Linked DNA regions of Oryzias latipes. The protein of the gene in region 1 purifies or fractionates together with the protein of each later gene. This does not show direct contact. Links are inferred from orthologs where the notes say so. Each region holds a gene or a part of one and is shown in the gene's direction. Other genes may lie near its edges.

Region 1 (4,230 bases):
TATTCTTGAATCGAAAGGAGACATTCTTCAATTAAGCAATTTCAAAAGCAAATATGATATTGAATTTTCAATTAAGGAATTTCAGAATTAATTAAGGAATTTCAGAAAGCAATTCCAATTGCTTTAGTACATGTAATAAACACTAAAATGTTGTTTTCCAGTGTTCAAGTAAAATTACCAAATTTAGTAATAGGTGAAACAAAATTTACGGAAGAAAAATGTGATAATAAAGGTACAAACAAATCCCTTAAAGGTAAATCATGCCATTACTATAATAGTAAAGTTAAATATTAGGTAACTGAGGCACCTGTCTTATTGGGTGCTCAACAATGGAAATTCATAAAATGGCCCATACTCCGAGATTTAAGAAATGCAATTCAAGATTATAAACAATTATTACCCATTGGCAGAGACGTTAAGGGGTGGATTTGACTTTAAGGTTGATCCTGATTACTCCAGTTTCTTCTCTGATGCCCCCATGCTCGTTATCGACCCCTGCCTGCCTGACCCTGATTTAGATTTGTGAACTTTTAGCTGTGCTAATAAAACCTGCTGCAATTGGAACCAGGCACCTGCCCATTTTGTGACACATTTGATATCAATGACAATATGATATCAATCTGAGGGGCTGTGGCTCAGGTGGTTGAGCGGGTCGTCCAATGATCGAAGGGTCGGCGGTTCGATCCCTGCTCCCCCCAGCCAACTGTCGTTGTGTCCTTGGGCAAGACACTTCACCCTCCTTGCCTCCAGTGTGGCTCCACTGGTGTGTGGATGTGCATGAATGTCCTGGTGATGGTCAGAGGGGCCGTAGGCGCGAACTGGCAGCCACGCCTCTGTCAGTCTGCCCCAGGGCAGCTGTGGCTACAACAGTAGCTTACCATCACCAAGTATGAACGAGGAGTGAATGAATAATGGCCACAATGTAAGCGCTTTGAGTGACTTGAAAAGCGCAGATAAATCCAATCCATTATTATTATTATTATTAATATAAATCACCAAACATTATGATTAAGATGGATTAATTACATTAGTTGTGGAAACTTTTCTAATCAAATATGTTTTATGCTCAGGAATATTTTTAAAATATTTTCACATTTCAGAGAGGAAAAATAAGTCTAAAGTTGTTTTCCCTTTGACTAACATGAAGCACTGATTTTGTGCAGACTTTTGTCCTGTTCTTTGGTCATGTTTTAGGTCTCATAACTTTGTGAAACGTTTAGTTGATTTTTATATCATATATATTATATATCATGAGCTGATTTTGCGCTGATTTGAAATGTGTATTAACAATTTAAAAGGTTTGTTCTTTATGTTGCAGTTAGTCTTTTACTTTTTATTTCTCTGACAGTCAAGCCATGGCAGCGGTTTAGTGCAGCTATCCATTCTGACCGATGGAGGCAGCAAATCCCCTTCCTTTTCTGAGACGCCTTGTGCGCATGCTTGAATGTCAGGAAAGAGGATTCTATCTTCAACATGGCGGCGACCATAGATCCCAGCAATGCTTCACAGGCGACAAAGAAAAAGCACCTCGGCATCCCTGAAGCAGTGTTTTTGGTGTGTAAAGTTTAGTTTTTTTATCTATCGATATTTGGTGCCTGTTATACGTTTTTGGTCACAGCTATTGGCTAGGCGCCTCGTGCTAGCTTGGTAGCATATAGAAGCTAACAGATTATCCGCTCTGTGTGCATGCTGGGCGGCTGCCAGCTTCCATTTATGGTCATCACCGGCCGGGTGGAAACTTTGGGCTGCGTGTGCAGGCTTTTTTAACTTCTGCTTTTTTCTTTTTCTTTCTTCGCAAACAATATTAAACACGAACCCTATATTACCTGCGGATACGTTTCATACATTTTCTCGACTAAGTGTATTGTCCATAATTAGACAAGCAATTGATTAATAATTGGAAATAACTAAAATGTCGTGAGCTTTTTTCATTTATATTTACCATTCTTGTTGTGTTGTGTTTCAATCGCTAATGTAAGTGTTTGCATTTTGATATCGATGCAATTAAATGGAAAGAAGTGACTAGTTTTTATATAGATTTTTTTATTGTTTTGTAGTCTTGTAAAAAAAAAAAAGTAATATTCAGGGATAGTTGGGGGTTTAAATAGAACCAGTCAATATTTAAAACAATAAGCTTAAGTCAATAATAGCCTACGTGCACGATAGAACTTCCGGTTAACTTCCGTGTTTCGAGTGTGAGGCCGACAACTTCCTGTTGGTCGTGTTATTGTTGTGTGGAGTTTTGTTGAGTTGCTAGTTTTGAGTAAATAGGAGCGGATTTCGGGTAAAAGAAAGGCGTTTGTTGTTTCAACGCGTGAAAAAGACATCACAACATTGTTGTGTACCCGTGTTCGAATTTGTCAAAGTACAACAGTACTAATATAAGCTTTCTTAGCTTTCCAGTATATGTGTCGGCGAGAGCCGAATGGATGGTGAACACGGCGGGAGGACTTCACCCCAAGCAAGACGAGTCGTGTTTCGTATTTGCAGCAATCGGAAAGAAAATGCGTCATGTAAACACGCCGATCAGAATACTTTGCCCCGGTCAGACTCGTTCGGATCGAAATTTCTTTCCGATCGAGATAGCTGGATATACCGATCGTTGTTCATGTAAACGGTCATTCCGATCGTGTGTCACTGCTGCTCTGGGTTACGTCACGCATAGACGGTGTTTCGCTGAGAGAAAGCTAGTGAGCTCATGCGGGACCGACCAGCGGCTCTGCGGACGCCTCGCGTAAAGCGCCGCTCCGCTCTCGCCCCGCTGGCTCTCCCCTCTCTTTCACCCCTCACGAAGGACATGCGGGGGGGATGCGTGTCCACTGAGGTCTGGACCCAGCATCCGAGCTCTGCGTTCGGGCTCCGGTGCCAGTGGACCGAGTGAACCTCTCTGAGCAGAGCAGCCGGATTTATTAATGTGTTTGAGGGGAGGGTGCTTTGTTACGTGTGCGTTTTGTTATGTGTGAGAATTCGGACTGCAAGCCGAACCGCCGCTCTGGGTTAGCGGCTGCCGGACTCGCGAGGACAGAGCAGAGCACACAGTGTGTGTGAGCTTTTCAGAGCAGAAATGCCGCTCAGTCCTTAGAAACTGTTCAAAAAAATCACGACACATGGAATTGTGTTTCTAATTGTGCCCAGACAAATAAAGGCTGATCATTTACGTGCAGCCAGGATGCAGATTGCAGCGGTTCCCACATGGTTTGTCCTGGATTTTGTCTCCATCAAAAGGCTAATGTTGTTAGCCCGTGTTGTTAGCCTATCCTAACACTGGGTTGTTCTTCAGTTCTGTTCTTCTTCCACAAAAAAAGCACTGACAACAAGGATTAAATATAAAATGATGAGCGAACAGGCACTTCATAATATTCATAAAATTTAATAAAAGCACGTTTGGAAGATCGCCTCGTATATTACCGAGCTGCTGCATAAATATGTGACAGCACAGGTTTGTCTAACGGGACGCATTTCCTTTCGGTATTTTCGACACTATATATTTTAGACACGATATTTTGCCCATGTAACCATGCACTGGTCGACAATCCTGTAGATGTCGTTCACGTCGATTTTCGGGAGACCTTGTAGAAAACGGGTGAAATATGCCATCTTTCGCAATCAAAATCTGCCGTGTCGCTGCTATAGAAGTCGCAAGCCGGAAATGGTCGGCCTCACACTCAAGGCGGCGGAAGTAGAACTCCTTACTTTCGTGCACGGAGCCTATTAAATCAAATTTAGCTTATAGTAGTTTAATACATTTAATATTGCTATTACTATGATTATTATTAAACTATACTTTTTCAATATTTTTATGTGTAAACCTCCCAAGTCGTAGTATATGTTATCGTCTTAAGTTTGTATTTTGTTTTTCGTGTTAATTCTCCCCAAGCTTTTTTTAAGATATATATTATTGTTAAGTTCCTAAATTGCATTGGTGTTTGAAAAAATTTCCAATCAACTTAAGGGAAAAAAACACCTCTAATAATGGAGAAATAATTGATAAAGAATGTTACTCTGACGTTTAAAGCCATGATCTTTATGGCTTTTTTGTGGGGTTTTTTTTTTTGTTTTTTAAAAGATCAATAAACGTCCAACATTTGGACTTCGCCAATGGTCAAATAAATTTGTCAGAATTCTCTCTTTAAACTCTGGTTCACAGGAGGATGTCGACTTTTTTATGAAGCAGCCAGGCAATGAGACGGCAGACACCGTCCTGAGGAGGCTGGACGAACAGTACCAGAA
Region 2 (4,006 bases), on another chromosome or scaffold:
ATGTAAAACAGAAATACCCCTGTACACAAGGTGGCGCTGCGCAACTTTACGCTTCTTAAAGTCGCTTTTCACTCAGAAGAAGAGAGCAAGTATTTACGCGCTTGTCAGAATCAAACAAAGAAAACATGAATATTTCCAGCACCAGTAGCTCCAGTTCCAGCAATGAAGAAATTATTGTTCTGTTGAATGATGTGTTGCACCGAGTAAAGACTGATAACTGCCGTAAAGCAAGTCAAAGTTTTATTAACACAGGATCATTATTTGCAGTACAATACCTTTATACCGATGACACCACAGCAAACGATGAAAGACGCTGGAAAAGACGCAGATTTTGGGTACATCCCATAGTTACGAGAAGAGAAGAACATGGGGAGTTTTATCGACTGGTACGAGAGCTAAAAATGTATCATGAGCGTTTTCGGGGATATTTTAGAATGTCCGTCATTATTTCTTTGCGGCAGTGTAGATTCCACTTGGCGTCTTATCTTCTTCGCTGGTATGTGTGCTCAGAAAGGCAGTTTTGTGTTTGAGCGCCCCCAAGTTGTGTTTTACTGTAACTTCAGAAGCTCCAGACACGTGTCCAAAAGCCCCATTCTCATTAGTCGTATAGTTTTTGCCGCGTGGCGCCAAACCAAAAAAACGAACCCGAGGCATTTTTTATAAAGTGACGCTTTGAAGCGTGGCGTTTTTTCACGTCGGTGTGCACACTCACATTGGTGCCCTTTGTTTAGTCATGAGGCGTTAAACATCGGCGAATATCGCGCGCGAAATTCGTCCCGGTGTGTACGGGCCTTAACTGGCCACCTCTGCCACGAATCTCGTTCAGTGTGAACGCACCTTAAATGTAACCATAACACTAAACTTAACCTTTCCTCTGGGTCCGGGTGTTCAAGAATTAAGTTTTGCACTGGCCACAAGTATTTGGAAAATGACGTGTGAATAGTGCTATGCAAGTGTATTCAACAATTTTTACAATTTCTGGGACTGTCTATCGGTCTTCACTCAGGCAAGACGCAGCTTGCAGATAGGGGGAATCGAGGGCGGAGCTAATCAGCACCAATAGCCACGCCCATGTAGAGGAGTTCTTGGAAACACGCTTCAGATAAACATGACATTTTAAAGACATTTGGCTTGTGGAATTTTAGTTAAAAAAAACGTCGTAATTGTAACTAAAACACCACTGGGAACGTTTTTATTTTTTTTAAAAAAAAGGTCACGGGGAGTTTAAATAGATCATCGTTACTGGGAGGGGCTGTGGGCAAACTTGATGCTGCCACAAAATAAGCCCGAAGAAGACAATCTTGCGCATGCGCACTCGAAATCTACTCTAAAGATGGCGGCGCCCGTGGACCTGGAACTAAAAAAGGTGTGTAGTTTACAGGACGCCGAACACATCATATGTCTGACGCACGTGGTTGCGCATACTCTCCGATATTGGGTTACAGGCAGCTACCGCTGGTAGTTATTAGTGTGACCCATACCGCATTCAGTGGTGCACGCGGAAGGTTCACGAAATTCGGCTGACCGGTCACTTCACTAGTAACAAACATGTGAACCGGACCATTGTGTACCTGCACCGAATCTTTGAACCCCTTAGAGCAAAATGAGTTTTGAGGTTGCCCCCCCCCCCCCATCTCTTTGAAACGGCCGAGCATCCTTTCTGATCGGGTGGACCATATTCCAATCCCACAATCCTTTGCGGTATTAACACTGAGACAAAAGATGATGGGGTTTGAGGAAACCAGATTATGACAAACATGCTTGTAAATGTTAAAGTCCAGTTTTCCATCTTTCAGTGTCGTGGATTATTTTAGGTCAGATGTCGTTTTTTTTTTTTACCTCCTTTATGCAAACATTTAAATGGTCCAGGTTTATATCTTCATAGACTACCTTCATGTAGCAGATCGCTTTGCTTGTTAACTGATTTACAGGAGAGGCAGTGTTTCATTTTTCTGTTTGACTTCCTGAATCAAGCCAGAGAAAAGGAAGAGATGGGAGAAATAGTGAAACTCTGATTCTCTCCTGGTTTCCTTTTCGACTTTGAACAGAGCGATACTTCCTGTCTCTGCAGGCATTCGCCGAGCTACAGCTGAAGATGATTGACACACAGCAGAAGGTGAAGCTGGCCGACCTCCAGATTGATCAGCTGACTCGAGTTCAGAAACATGCCAAGCTCACAAGCACAGAGATCTCCTCGCTGCCGGAAAACACGCGCCTGTACGAGGGCGTCGGCCGAATGTAAGTGTGCTCTCCTGTAATCAATGCCAACTCACCAAAGAACACAGATGAGTTAGACACATCTGAAAAACATGAAACCAGTCTGGTTTTTCCATCAAATGTCTGGTTCTGCTTTGGAAATCTCAGTGTCACACGGTTCTACTGCAGTTGTGAAACCATGTGCCTCTTATTTTGAAAACTTTACATTTATTTTAAGGAGATCTCCACCAGATTCACATAAATTTCTTTTTGGAGAGGTTTTGATTGGCCTCATTGATGCTACTGAGGCTCCATGAGAGTTCCAGACAGAGGAATTCTGTCTGACCTGATTGACTTTATGAACTTCACATCCAGTCAACACTTTTATACACAAGTTTGAAGAGGATGTGCGTTTAGCAACTGATCTGCACAAACACTGAGCTACATAAGGGTTAATGGCCAACAAAGTGTGCTTTATCAGCATTAATGCACTTTATGCGTTAATGCTGATAGCACTCTTGCCTCGGAGCAAGAAGGCCACTGGTTCAAGTCCCGGCTGGGGGACCTGAAACAGAACATCAATGGGGGACCTTTCTGCATTGAGTTTGCATGTTCTCCTCGTGCATGCATGGGTTTTCTCCGGGGTCTCCAGCTTCCTCCCACCGTCCAAAAAGATGCTCCATAGGTTAATTGGCAACTCTAAATTGTCCATAGGTGTGAATGTGAGTGTGAATGGGTGTGTGACTGTGACCCTGCGGCAGACTGGCGACCTGTCCAGGGTGTCCTCTGCCTTCACCCATAAGTGGCCGGGATAGGCTCCGGCAGCCCCGTGACTCCGAAAGGGAACAAACGGAAGAAAATGAATGAATGAATGCACTTTGTGGAAGCAACCGTCCTCCGCAGTTGCTTCCATAAAGTGCATTAATTTCTGATTGTGCCCACTTTGACAGCCGTTAATCCGCTGCTACCATGATTACTTACAAAAGAAATAAATATATAACCAGTTTTTAGGCCTTTCATTCTAACATTTTTATGGTTCCAATCTCTTTTTTTTCTCTTCACAAAAAGTCGACTATTTGTTACGTGTCACGGTAACATAACGCGCTGCTTAGCCCCACTGACCTCGACTGCTGCGGCAAAGGAAAGCAATATATATGCTGATCGTCACCACGGGTTAAATAAAGCATCAGTTCAGAGAGAAAGTTTACCTCTTTTAGTCCAGATGATGAGGCTGAAGTTTGTTTTAAAGAAGCCAGTGCAGTGATACAGAACAGTTAAGCTATGTGCCCGGAACTTCTTTTTTAGGCGTACATTATCACCGTGGATTATCACTTTAATGCACACCCAGCAGCCAATCAGAATCGAGTATTCACCCGGACCATGGTATAAAGAAACGTTAATGTCTGAATGCTGCCTTTAGGTTCATCTGCCCTGCCGATCCTATAGATGACAGAAAACTGTTGTTTCAGGTTCATTCTTCAGTCCAGGGAGAAGATCAACAACCTGCTGACAGACAAACAGAAAACCGTGGACGAGAAGATCAAGGAGCTTGAGGTGCGAGTGCCTGCTCCATCACAGCTCGCAGTGCATGTTTGCGGGTTTCTGACTGTTGCTGCCCGTTTGTGGTCTCTTGCAGCAGAAGAAGGTGTACTTGGAGCGCAGCGTGAAGGAGGCTGAAGACAACATCAGAGAGATGCTGCTGTCCAGAAGAGCTCCGTAATCCGTTTTTTTTCTGTGCCACGTGATCCCAATAAAGCCCCTCCCACCCCTCTGTGTTGGTGTGAAGTGTCTCCTAAAGGTCTGTGAGGAC
Region 3 (4,105 bases), about 850 kb from region 1:
TTTTTAAATGAAAGACTTTTTTTAAAAATACATACAGAAAAGGTTGGTTAATATTATACCAGAAGCTGTTTGCTATCACACTGTGGCAACAATCACATAGGGTCAAATTGTTATGCAGCGAAGTGATATACATTTGGTCTCTACAGGAAAAAGTTGAACATTTTAGCTGAAAATGAAAAAATAAATAAATAAAACAGTTAGACTACCCAAAGCTTTTGAAATGATCATTTCTAATTAGCAGAAACTTTTTAAAATTAGAAATGCCTTTCTTTCTTTAAATTTTATGTCATTGTAGCATGTCAGGCTGATTATTCTGTTAAAAGAAGTTAAACTGTTTTATCCTTTGATTTGTTCGAGGGAAAATGTTTACATGTTACACTTGTGTACTCTACTTGGATTTTATGGTAAAACATGTGCAAAATAATAATAATAATAATGCATTTTAGTTTCTAATTGGCCAATGCACAATCTAGTGAAACCCCGTGGTAGAAATCAATTGTTAGCTGATCAAATAAGCCTTTACTTACTTACTTACTTACTTACTAACTTACCCACTTACTTACTTACTTACTTACTTATTTACTTATTTACTTATTTACTTATTTACTTATTTACTTATTTACTTACTTACTTACTTACTTACTTACTTACTTACTTACTTACTTACTTACTTACTTACTTACTTACTTACTTACTTACTTACAGTTGTGGGGGGCAGATAGAAATTTAACTTGTTTCCCATTTTAAAAAAAAGGATCAATTTGATCTTAGTGCTGTGTCCGAATTTCCAACCTAATCACCAACTACTAAAAACGATATAGTGTCGTGGGTTTTAAAAGCAATTAGGACACCATCCTCACTATTTTTTTTCTTTTTTTAAAACGGGAAATATAACGTTACCGATTTCACGAAGTGAAAATCTGATCAATACATACTCCGTCGTAAATACAAGCAATTTACAACAACTATTTATTAATTCATTGCGTACTTGAAATAAAAAAAATATTGATTGTTTAAAAAAAAGCATTTCAACACATTGTTTTCGCAAAAAATGTTCAAAACGCAATGCATTGTCATTGATCTATGTTGGCCAATTTAATGAGCGTCGATGCACACTGGTTAATTTGCAGAGACTTCCGAGAAATTTCTTAGGAACTGGATTTTGAAATTGTAGATTCGGACAGCATTACAAAATTGCGAACGCACTGTATAGTGCACTGTGTAGTGAGTGGTAAAGGAATTTAGAGATGTATTTTTACACAGGCAGTCATGAGACTGCCTCTGCCTGTGAAAAAAAACTTTCACATGGGTCGGGTCCTTCAAGTGCACTCTATCAAGATGGCAGCCAACAGCAGCACGTTCAGCAAATCGAGCAGCAGCGCGGCTGGAAAACAGCCCGCGCAGTCAGCCGAACAGGTATCCTATTGAGTAGCGGAGTCTTTTGTCTCGGTACTCCTGAGATTGTGACATATTATTCGTATATATTCAGCAGAAAGTAACTAAACCGACGTACAGCCAGTCAGCGCTAACGTTAGCTTCCCCGTGGCCACAGAAGTGTCTTGCAGTCAGACCCATGCGAGGGGAAAGAAATTGTGAGCATGAAATTAGGTCCAATTTGTGCTATTTGCACATCATGGAATGGGATAACGTCAAAGATAAACTAAAGGTACACCATTCTGTATGTGGGTGGTGTGGCCCTCAGAATGGGTCTGACAGAGCATGATGATGCTATTTTTACTACTCAGACAGTCAACAACTATGCACAGCTCAAGGGCTACGGAAGCCTTTCATATAAGAAAAAAACTGTTTCAACACGTTGCCAAATTATTAGTATAAAGCGACGTCTTAGTGATAGACAATAACATGTAGACACACTATAGGAACAAATTAGCATAAAAATGGCAAATGTTGAAATGTATTAATCTTTATTCGATGTTTGTTGAAAAATAACATTAAAAATACATATGAACTTCAAAAAATTTTGGGGTCAAAATTAAATATTTTCATACAGGTTCAAAGAATACTGTGAATTAAGTCATATTAGGAAGTCATATTCTAAGTTATAAATTGCTCTTGATTGAAAAAAGAAAGTAAAGCTAAAAAAAATGGTACATACATTATATATAAAAAAAGTAAAACAATTTGAAATCATTAACATGGAGAAGGTTATGCATTTGGTCTGCTTAAATTGAACCAGAGTTCACTTTAAGGTCTGGGACCTTGACCCATCTTTGCAGGTGGTCTTGGTTAATTTCCAATCAGATTGAGCTCGGGTTCGCTCTAAGATTCCTCAATCTGAATACCACTGAACCTAAATGGCCACCATAGCTGACATAAACAGAGTAGGAATGTGGCTACAGATGAGCCGCGGACAAATAAGCAATTATTATCGTGTTATCAAACAGAAAAAAAGAGTTCAAGTGTTTATTTGTTAGAACGTTTATTTTAACATTGCTGAAAAGGCTACTTGCATGCTTTTCTGTATCTTGTTACGCGGCATTCGCCTGTGGCATGACTAAAAGCTATATTATAGTTTCCTTAACAGAATTCTCTAAAAACAATGCCCTAAAACCACAATGATGAGACACAGCAACTCATTGAAATGTGGTCAGATGAATGCAGGCTAATTAAAATCATTTTTAATGGGAAACACATTGTATCTCACTGCAGGCTGAAATGACACAATTCTGATTGTTTTTTGCCCCTATGCGACCTGTATCTGATCTTTTCATGACAGTCTGAACGACACAGATCCGATCTTTTCAAATGCGACCCAGGCCACTTGCGTATGTGGTCCTGAATCCGATATGTATCCGATCATTTCAAATGCGACCTCCGTCTGAACGTCCAGGCCACATGAATCCGACCCGTACGTCATTGATACGCTGCAAACATCATCATTTTTCGTTGAAGTAGGCGGGAACAAGAACATAAACATCAACCAATGGCGGACGATGCTGCTGAGACCAGTCAGTGGAAGGGAAGCGAAGTCACCGATTTGATTAATATTTGTGGTGACGGCTCTATTCAGGCCAAACTCCAGGGCTCTTTATCGCAACCATGCGGTTGCCCCTCAGAGAGGAGAGAGCGTGGCAGCCTACTCATACCCGACGTCTCGTCATCAATGCAGTTACTAGCATGCTCTGAGTTAAAGCACACACAGCACGTCTCCTTGCCACTGACCGCTTCGCAGCATGCCTTTGCCGTACCAAAGTAACAAATAAAAAGGCTTGTTCCCGACGTTCAAAACTGATAATCGAAAAAAATATAAAATTTTAATAATTTAACTGTTAAGCGGCACACGTCCACATTTCTCTTGTTTTGATCTGCCCTCGTAGTTCCTGGCCAATGACTGAAGAGATCTTTAGTCACATTGTTTTGTTTATAAGCTTTGGTCGCTAACAGAATGGGGCGCTTAACGCCAGTCTGATAAAGGCCTAACGCAAGGTTCGGAACTCGGTCCGGAACAAATTAAGCGGACTGGATCAAAAGGGACTGGGTAAAAAAAAAAACTCTCTAAAGTCACAATTTCCTTTTAAGGTTTGGTAAGTTTATTCAGCCTGAAAGCCCCTCAGTCTGAAACAGCTTACATGCTTGTGTTGGGATCAGACGGATGCGTCAAATGTCATTGGTCTGCATTGATGCCAGCTTTGCGGTGATGTTTTCAGGTGGTTGCCACCTTTCAGAGGATGCGTCAGGAACAACGCAGCATGGCGTCTAAAGCTGCAGAGCTGGAGATGGACATCAATGAGCACAGGTTAGCAGCTGATGACTTCTCCTCTGAGAGCTTTTATAATACTCACTTTTTATGTTTGATTGTTAGCAGGACAGCTAATTGGATCATGTTGGTCTGTAGTTAAATTGACCTTTTTACTTTATATACATTAAACTTAAAAAAGAAAAACATCTTGTAACTCACCTCGTCACATAACTGGTAAGTGGTAAAAGAGTAATAATTTTAATGTTTTTTTCTTTTTGTGTTCAGTTTAGTTATTGAAACTCTTAAGGAAGTGGACCCTTCTAGGAAATGCTATCGCCTGGTTGGAGGGGTTTTGGTAGAGAGGACGGTGAAAGAAGTTCTACCTGCTTTGGAAAACAACAAAGA
Region 4 (4,186 bases), on another chromosome or scaffold:
ACGCCCGCTGACGGAATAAAACACGACGGAAAATATTTGTATTAATTCCTAAATTTACACAGTTTTTCTGTACATTCGTGGCAGTTTTCTTAGTTGCATTTTCTGTAAAATAAATAAATAAGTAAAAGAAAGTCTTTAAAACGTTTTTGTTGATTTTCTGTGATGTGTGGTTGTCTAATTTTTTTTCATTGCATAATTAAAACCAAAATCTTCCCATCAGTAACAGCGTTCGTTGTGTATTTTAGAAATTCGTTCAAAACATGATGATACGACTACTAAGTATTTTAGATTTTGAATCATCAAAACGATACTACTTCCATGACCACTACTACTACTACTACTACTACTACTACTACTACTACTACTACTACTACTACCACAGGCTTACTGTTTATTTTAGGTTTTTGTTCAAATAATAATGATGCTAGTTCTGCAACTGCTATGTATTTTAGATTTTTAATAAAAAAAAAAACCCATACAAATGTACTACCATTACAGCAACTACTACTACTACTACTTACCACTTTTGCATTTTAGATTTTTCATTAAAACAATGATACTACAAATACTACAATTTATTTCCAATCAAAATACCACTGTGGTGACAAATGACGGGATCTGCCGAGAGGTGAACAAGTTGTTCAAACAAACACACACACACGCACACAAAGGGTCCATACAAACATTTATTCCTCAACTTACTTATCTGACTTACTAAACCTTCCAAGGTTCTATTGTTTATTGATGTAAAGCAAACCAAGGCAAAACTATTGTTGAAGAATCGCTTTTCTCAAATTTCCCTTCGTGGATTAATAAAGTTGATCTTGAAAGTGGATTAATAAAGTTGATCTTAAATCTTTCTCCCAGTTTTAGGGTCACAGTCCCTGAGTGTCCACCACTTTATTGGGCAACTGCCGTCTCACTTTTTTTTTAAAACCAATTTTCATTTCTCTTGTGATTTTTGAAGGTCAGTGGCTTGATGCCAGGTATTAGCCCCTTACATGATTTATTATGATTTAATACAGAGAGGACATCAACTCTTTCCATGTTGGAGATCCCCTTAGACTGATCAGAGCTGGTGGACCAAGATTTATCCATACCTTTTTGAATGAGATGTGGCAGCAATTAATTTTATTTTTAAATGTTATGTGTGCAATTCAAAGTTTAAAATATCTATTATCTTCTATTGTTCGACTATGAGAATAATGTAATAACTTGTGTGTATAACTACTAAGTCAAAAAAATCCTAATCAAATAAGATATTTTTCAAATTTCATGCAATTTCTTCATCTAATATGATATACATTGGACAGAAATAGAAAATATTTGATAAAACTCTTCTCTTGTACGACTGCGGAAACTCCGATTTTCTGGATGGCAGTGAATCTTTCACAACTTCCGCTAAATCCGTCGCTCCTTCCGGTTAGCTAGCGCAGTTCTCCCATTCTGTGTTGTTAGCTCTGAAACCTCTAGATACATTTATTTAACGTTTACACGGTTATTACAAACAAGTCATAAAACATGGCAGATGCAATTCAAAAGAAATTAAAAGCGGAATTAGAAAAATATTCGCAGGTGCAGAAAGGTAGGTACCTGTTAGCTGCTAGTGTGCCATGATGTTGTTACCATCGGGCAGCAGTTAGTTAGCCATGCCTGCACCCATGTTTCAAATATTTAAAGTAACTTTGAGATTTGACGTATTAAAAGAAATACAACTTACAAATGTCTGTTTTTTTTTCAGATGTGAGTAAAAGTATGTCCGTCAGGCAGAAACTGGAGACGCAGCTGACAGAAAACAACATAGTCAAAGAGGTACACGCCTAACCCTTAACAACATGTTTTTGTCCATTAGATATCTTTATGTTCAGTTTGACTGAAGATGTGACCTGTATATTTCCAGGAGCTCGATCTGCTGGACAGTTCTAACACCATTTACAAGCTTATCGGTCCAGTTTTAGTGAAGCAAGACTTGGATGAAGCCAAGGCCACGGTCACAAAAAGACTGGAGTACATCAATGGAGAAATGTAAGGAAAAGAAATACAAAAGAAAATGTATGGGATGCCCTAGTTAAAATGATATTTTCAAGCTTTAGTTTATAATATATAGCACTTACTATAAGCAGAGACGTTTATAGTCATTTATTTGTAATGAAATATCAGCCACAGAAGCTGGAAATCTAGTTTTTATGGGTAGTTCTGAAAATTCAGGATAGACTTGAACATATTTCGTCGCCATGGTAAAATTTTGACCACAAATTCTGAGTTCTACCTTGAATAAATAGAGAAACAAAATGCACGACGAGAACACCTGATTTAAGCTGTCTTTATAGAATATAGAATCACATAATTTGCCTTAAATTTACGCCATACCTTGAACCTTTTAATATTCAATTTCTACTGATACAATCTTATATCCTAAGACTGACAGTTGAAAGGTGAAGGCTTAATTTTTGACCTGAAACCCATAATTGTAGTATTTAAACATATAGACATTTTAGCAGACAGAAAACTATCTTATATCTTTACATTATAAATGGGGTCCAATGTGCCCCAGATGAGTAATTAGTCAAATTTTGGGGGAAATAAAATAATATATTAAAAAAATGAATACAGCTTTTGCTTTAAAATTAAATTAACAGTGTTGCTAAGTGATTATATCAGGTATTATGTTGCTTCATTCAATAGAAATATTTCTTTTTTTCATTACTGTGACACACTTTATGCTGGGGAAAACAGATGCATGTCACAGATATGCTTGTGTTTTTTTTTACATTAATATATAATAAAGACTGTACTCATAGTTTCTTTTAAATTAATGGAAGATGAAAAGTGGCTGATGAAAAAAGGGTTGTGCAGAAATAAAAGTTGACCTTGGCTGGTTGTACCTTCAAAAAAGAAATAAATGGGATCCCACAGCTGTCCGTTTGGGGCCTTAAATTAATTATGTCATATAATATTTACATGTTCTTAAAGTTAAAATAGTTTTATATTTGCTGTCCATGCATCTGAGATACTTTTGGACAGGTTTTTTCCCCATAATATTATATTTCATATCATTATGTTTGTAGTTGTTAAATTGTTTGTTCAATTAATACAAACTATCATTTATTTTAAACAAATGAATAGTAATTGTGAATAAATATTCTGACATTAACCTATTTATTAGCTTTTATCGTCTCATTATGTCATTTAGGCCTGCACAATATACCGCAAATTTATCGTTATCGCGACATCAAGCTGTGCAATATGCATACCGCAAAAGACGGCGAAAATCGCAATAAATGGTTACCTTAACCCTTGTGCTATCCTAGGCACTTTAACATTGGGAGTTGGGTCATCTAGACCCACTAGACAGTGCACTGAACAATTTTTCTTCAATAATTTGTGATCTTCACTGGTGTCCATGGATTACATGAAATCTTTCCACCTTTGTCCACCTTTGTCATGGTAGGGAGAACACGTCAATGTAAGGGGGGGGTCATCTAAGATAGCACAAGGGTTAAGTGTGCTAAAACAAACTCATGGCAGCTTGAAATATTGAACAAATGAAATAAATCCCTTTATGCATTTAACCAATCGGAAGGACCCGTTTACGCTGTTGATCAATCAAATGAGCCCTTTTATGTTTGATGTTTGCCTCCTACGTCGACAAGGGTCATTTGGAGTATGATTTTTATACTGTTGCATTGAAATGGAAATTATGTTTTTGGTTGGTTTGACATTTGTTTATATACCGCAAATTATATCGTTATCGCAATATTAATCACCAATATCGCATATCGCGAGTTTTCCTCATATCGTGCAGCCCTAGTGTCATTTGTATTTCATCTTTTAACGTCGGACACTGAAATCGTAAAGCAGTTTGTATCTTAAATCTGTCAAAAATGACTTTAGCATTAATCAAAAGGAGGATTGTGTCACACTATTTTAGGTTCTTGTTTATTTATTTACATATCTATGTTGTACAAGTATTTTGCCTGTTATTTTCTATAGGTAATTCTTTCTTCAGTTAAAACAAGAATTAGCTTTGATATTCTGTACTGTGTTGTAAAAACAAGTCTTTTGTTTTTACAGCAGCTCATTCATCCTGTTGGAGATTATTATTGAGCGTTTTTTCTGTCTTTAAAATTGTATTTTTTCTTAGACTTCTCTTTATAATACTGGTCACGTGCTTTGGTTACTTCAG
Region 5 (4,111 bases), on another chromosome or scaffold:
CTAGAAAATACTAGGTCATTAATCTGCATGTTTCAATATTGAATAAATATTAAGCAAAAATAGAAAGTTCAAATATTTGTCACAAACACACAGTATGACATGCAGCCAAATGCTTCGTGTAACTGATATGCAAACTAGAACAAGTATGGGCCCCTATACTTGACCCACAGACTGCATGGCAGTTGTTCAACCTGCAGATGTAATTGACTAAATTAAAAACCAGATTATTGTACGTTTCCATGGTCTCTTATCGTAATTTTAATCTTCTTTCTCTTTTGGCTTTTCCCATCAGGGGTCGCCACAGCGAATCATCCTTTTCCACCTCACTCTATCATGAACATCTTCTACCCTAACGTTAGCCAACTTCATGTCCTCTGTTAAGACATCCATGTATCTCCTCTTTGGCCGTCCTCTTGCCCTCCGGCCAGGCAGCTCCATCTCCAACATCCTTCTACCAATATATCCACTATCCCTCCTCTGAACATGTCCAAACCATCTCAGTCTGGCTTCTCTGACTTTGTCGCTAACACAGGCAACATGAGCCGTCCCTCTGATGTACTCGTTCCTTATCCTGTCTAACCTGGTCACTCCTAAGGAGAACCTCAACATCTTCATCTCCGCTACCTCCATCTCAGCCTCTTGTCTCTGTCTCACTGCTACCGTCTCTAACCCATAGAGCAGAGCTGGTCTCACCACTGTCTTGTACACCTTTCCTTTGAGTCTTGCTGGCACTCTTCTGTCACACAACACTCCTGACACTTTCCTCCAACTGCTCCAACCTGCCTGCACTCGCCTCTTCACCTCTTTTCCACACTCCCCATCACACTGAACTGTTGACCCCAAGTACTTAAACTCCTGCACCTTCTTCACCTCAGCCCTCTGTAACCTAACGCTTCTACCTTGATCCCTCTCATTCAGACACATGTATTCTGTCTTACTACGACTGACCTTCATGCTTATCGTAATTTTAATATTCTGCAGAAAAAAACCCATTCAATTTCAATCAAAGAAACTGTTATGCAGAGTCTGCGTTAGAAAATAGTCATATAAACTAGAGCTAGTCAACATATTTAAAAAGGAAGTTTTCTTCTTTCCTTTTATTTATTTATTTTTTGCATTTCATTTTAAATCATATTTACTTTGAAACAGCTTTCATGTTCTAATAAACCGGAAAATATGTCAACCGGAAGTACATCTCGCAACCGGAAGAAGAATCCGTCTTTTGTCACCACGCTTCCAACATGGCGGTGAATCTCACAGACCTCTCTCTGCCGCAGTTAGAAGGACTCAAAGGCCAGCTGGACCAGGTAAAATGCGTGAGTTTAGACTGAATATGTGACCGCTGCTTCTTCATGAAGGCGTCTACGCTAAAGGCGGGAATGAGAGCAGCGCAGCGGCCGCGGAGGGTCATGATGTTTCCCCGCAGGGGCGTGGAGTTTCAGGTGCTGCTCGGTTGTAAAGAAGGGTTTTTGAGTTGACAGAGAAAAAACCGACAATAGTTTATTTTACAATTTGTCCTTAGACTTTATAGGATTTAATTGATACATAGACAGGATGGGTAGCGACCTTCAAGAGTTAAGAGAAATGAGTCACAGTTTGAACTTGCCTGGCCTTATCATTATATTATTTACATTTTTTTGTTAAATTTTGAATCAGGCTTATTGTTGTCATTCAACCAATACACCCGCTATGAGTGACAAAGCAGCTGAGTTTTTACAATGCACACATCCGGGGGAAAAAACGTACCTAACGGTACAGAAGTGAACTGAACCGAACCTGCTGTACTGAAACGCTTCGGTTCAACTACGTTTATTCTTACACCCCTAGAACATATAATACCCTTATTGATAAGGCATTCTGGCGTTGGGAATTATTATAAATTCTAATGAATTCAAGAAATGCAACAGAATCTATCCTGGTGAAGTAGTCACAGGTGTGCAGTTTAGTGTAGTTTACCTCTATGTGGCAGATGTCAGTGCTAAACATCTACAAAATTAATCAAATAACAACATCACTCACTGAAGTAAATTGTTGTAGCATTTCAGGATATGACTATGTTAATGAAAAACTACCTAAATTATTGAACACAATCGTGCTGGAAAGAAAAATTGCACAAAAGCACGACTGAAACCGTTACCAAAAAGCCTGTGTGCGATCATTTCCAGCTGAGCGCCGTCCAGACCGCGCTTGGTGGCCGAAAGAAACTGCCAGCTCAACATTTCTGCAAACTGTGGCCACGGGGCAGCAGGAGTGTTGGCATAACTTGGTCATTTCCAGGATCTGCTTTTGCAACCTCAGTTTCTCAGCTTTACTATCAGTTTTGTTTCACAATGCAACAAAACATCACACTTATGCGTCAATAAAAAACTGGAAACATTCGTTTTCTAAAACTAGTGAATGGTGGTGTATCTGAGTACATAGATGGAACTCCTCTGGGGTGTTTCTTTTAATTTTTTTTAATTGCTTTTTTGAAATTCATGCTGTGTTTTTTTTCCCAGGAAGTTGAATTCTTGACTTCTTCAATTGGCCAGTTCAAAGTTGTGCAGACCAAGTATGTTGAAGCAAAAGACAGTTTAAATGTACTGACCGAAAACAACAAAGGTATGTAAAATGTCCCTTACTGGTAATTTGTTTGATCATTAATGTTTTAAAAAATGTTTTATAGTTTTACTTCTAACTTTGCTTAGGATGGCACCTCTTTTAACCGTCACACCACGTGCGCATAGATCAGTGTTTTCACACCTTTTTTGAGCCACGGCACACTTTAACCTTGACAAAAATCCTGTGGCACACCAGCATCCAAAAATAAAAATAAAACTCCTAGTCTGTTTTGATCTACAGCCCCTCTGCAATCTCACATGCATTGTTGTGATCATTGTGGCAGAAAAAGCTGGAAGCTGCAGCTGGTTTTCTAAAAGATGTAATAAAAGTTAAGTTAGAAGATTTAAAAACTGTTTGGTGTGTGTTCGTTGTGGTTTCAAGACGTCAAAGGAAGACTCATTGTACACTGATACGCTGCCACTTTAACCCAATGCATCATGGGAGATGTAGTGTCAACAGCCGGCAAACGCCAGACAGACTGGCGTCTTGGAGCTTCATGGTTTTGTTCCCTTGTTCCACGGTCTGACACCGGATTCTGTGGAAAGCTACACCGCTAAAGACGAGCTTTAGCTGGTATTTTTGTTGGAACTGAGAGACTTTATGAGCAGAAATGGAACAAGGAAGTGAAGACTTTAACCACTTCTGATTGGTCAGACTGATGACGTATGATTAAGACTCCAAGAATGATTGGCGGAGACAGTTAAAGGGGCGGGACTTTTCAGAAAACAGTTAATACTGCAGCTAAATCACGGTACCGTCATTCTTATTTAAAAGTCTTTAATATAATCAAATAAACACAAAGAAAAAAGTATTTTACGACACCTTTTGCTTTGATTCCTGCTTTGCACACTCTTGGCATTCTCTTGATGAGCTTCAAGGTGACAGTGATGTTACGGAGCGAAATAACAAGAATAAACAAATACGTATCGTACACACATCCTAAATCCTAAGCTCCAAGTCGTGTTTTAAGCCCTTGACGTCAAATGTCAAGTCAGTGCATGTGAGGCTGAAGTGTCACTCAAGTCCCAGGTCCAAGTCTCCGACTGTCCTTCAGTCTTGGAGGCTACAGAATGTCTAATATATACAGATGGTTGAATTTAACAACTTTCCCTCTTTCTTCCATACAGGAAAAGAATTACTCGTCCCCCTCACCAGTTCTGTATCCTTTATCCATCTAACTATTTTTAGTCTTTTGTAGTCATTTACAAAGTCTATAGTTGTCATGAAAAGGTTTATTTATATAATAAGTTCCACAAATTAGATAAACTCCAACAAACCGTTTTCATTTGCTGTGCATCTGTAAACAGCTTGTTTCTATTGACCTTAAGCAGAGCTGCTGAACAGATGTACGTCCCCGGCACATTAAACGACGTGGAGCACGTGTTGGTGGATGTGGGAACGGGATATTATGTGGAAAAGGTAAAAGTGGAAGCACTTTGAAACTTGAACTTCATAAACAGTCAGTAGACTGTAAATCTTACTGTTTCTGTTCCCAGAATGTGAAAGATTC

Evidence for each region.
Region 2: the proteins of vbp1 (region 1) and pfdn1 purify together in Homo sapiens (affinity purification with mass spectrometry; 4 studies listed by BioGRID and IntAct, counting the BioPlex papers as one, with this or other methods). This does not show direct contact. The link is inferred for Oryzias latipes from reciprocal best matches to the Homo sapiens genes VBP1 and PFDN1.
Region 3: the proteins of vbp1 (region 1) and pfdn2 fractionate together in Homo sapiens (co-fractionation; 8 studies listed by BioGRID and IntAct, counting the BioPlex papers as one, with this or other methods). This does not show direct contact. The link is inferred for Oryzias latipes from reciprocal best matches to the Homo sapiens genes VBP1 and PFDN2.
Region 4: the proteins of vbp1 (region 1) and pfdn6 purify together in Homo sapiens (affinity purification with mass spectrometry; 6 studies listed by BioGRID and IntAct, counting the BioPlex papers as one, with this or other methods). This does not show direct contact. The link is inferred for Oryzias latipes from reciprocal best matches to the Homo sapiens genes VBP1 and PFDN6.
Region 5: the proteins of vbp1 (region 1) and pfdn5 purify together in Homo sapiens (affinity purification with mass spectrometry; 7 studies listed by BioGRID and IntAct, counting the BioPlex papers as one, with this or other methods). This does not show direct contact. The link is inferred for Oryzias latipes from reciprocal best matches to the Homo sapiens genes VBP1 and PFDN5.

The regions. Positions count from the first base shown.
Region 1 is NC_019876.2:19,822,548-19,826,777, reverse strand, and holds the start of vbp1 (prefoldin subunit 3), read left to right. Parts: upstream 1-1,427; 5' UTR 1,428-1,473; coding exon 1,474-1,554; intron 1,555-4,147; coding exon 4,148-4,230. UniProt on the Homo sapiens protein: Binds specifically to cytosolic chaperonin (c-CPN) and transfers target proteins to it. Binds to nascent polypeptide chain and promotes folding in an environment in which there are many competing pathways for nonnative proteins.
Region 2 is NC_019872.2:23,090,151-23,094,156, forward strand, and holds pfdn1 (prefoldin subunit 1), read left to right. Parts: upstream 1-1,201; 5' UTR 1,202-1,267; coding exon 1,268-1,366; intron 1,367-2,071; coding exon 2,072-2,238; intron 2,239-3,665; coding exon 3,666-3,750; intron 3,751-3,832; coding exon 3,833-3,916; 3' UTR 3,917-3,969; downstream 3,970-4,006. UniProt on the Homo sapiens protein: Binds specifically to cytosolic chaperonin (c-CPN) and transfers target proteins to it. Binds to nascent polypeptide chain and promotes folding in an environment in which there are many competing pathways for nonnative proteins.
Region 3 is NC_019876.2:18,973,798-18,977,902, forward strand, and holds the start of pfdn2 (prefoldin subunit 2), read left to right. Parts: upstream 1-1,294; 5' UTR 1,295-1,305; coding exon 1,306-1,416; intron 1,417-3,668; coding exon 3,669-3,757; intron 3,758-3,985; coding exon 3,986-4,105. UniProt on the Homo sapiens protein: Binds specifically to cytosolic chaperonin (c-CPN) and transfers target proteins to it. Binds to nascent polypeptide chain and promotes folding in an environment in which there are many competing pathways for nonnative proteins.
Region 4 is NC_019868.2:26,684,866-26,689,051, forward strand, and holds the start of pfdn6 (prefoldin subunit 6), read left to right. Parts: upstream 1-1,386; 5' UTR 1,387-1,521; coding exon 1,522-1,585; intron 1,586-1,741; coding exon 1,742-1,812; intron 1,813-1,900; coding exon 1,901-2,025; intron 2,026-4,186. UniProt on the Homo sapiens protein: Binds specifically to cytosolic chaperonin (c-CPN) and transfers target proteins to it. Binds to nascent polypeptide chain and promotes folding in an environment in which there are many competing pathways for nonnative proteins.
Region 5 is NC_019863.2:4,452,380-4,456,490, forward strand, and holds the start of pfdn5 (prefoldin subunit 5), read left to right. Parts: upstream 1-1,307; 5' UTR 1,308-1,352; coding exon 1,353-1,442; intron 1,443-2,498; coding exon 2,499-2,601; intron 2,602-3,728; coding exon 3,729-3,760; intron 3,761-3,945; coding exon 3,946-4,020; intron 4,021-4,097; coding exon 4,098-4,111. UniProt on the Homo sapiens protein: Binds specifically to cytosolic chaperonin (c-CPN) and transfers target proteins to it. Binds to nascent polypeptide chain and promotes folding in an environment in which there are many competing pathways for nonnative proteins.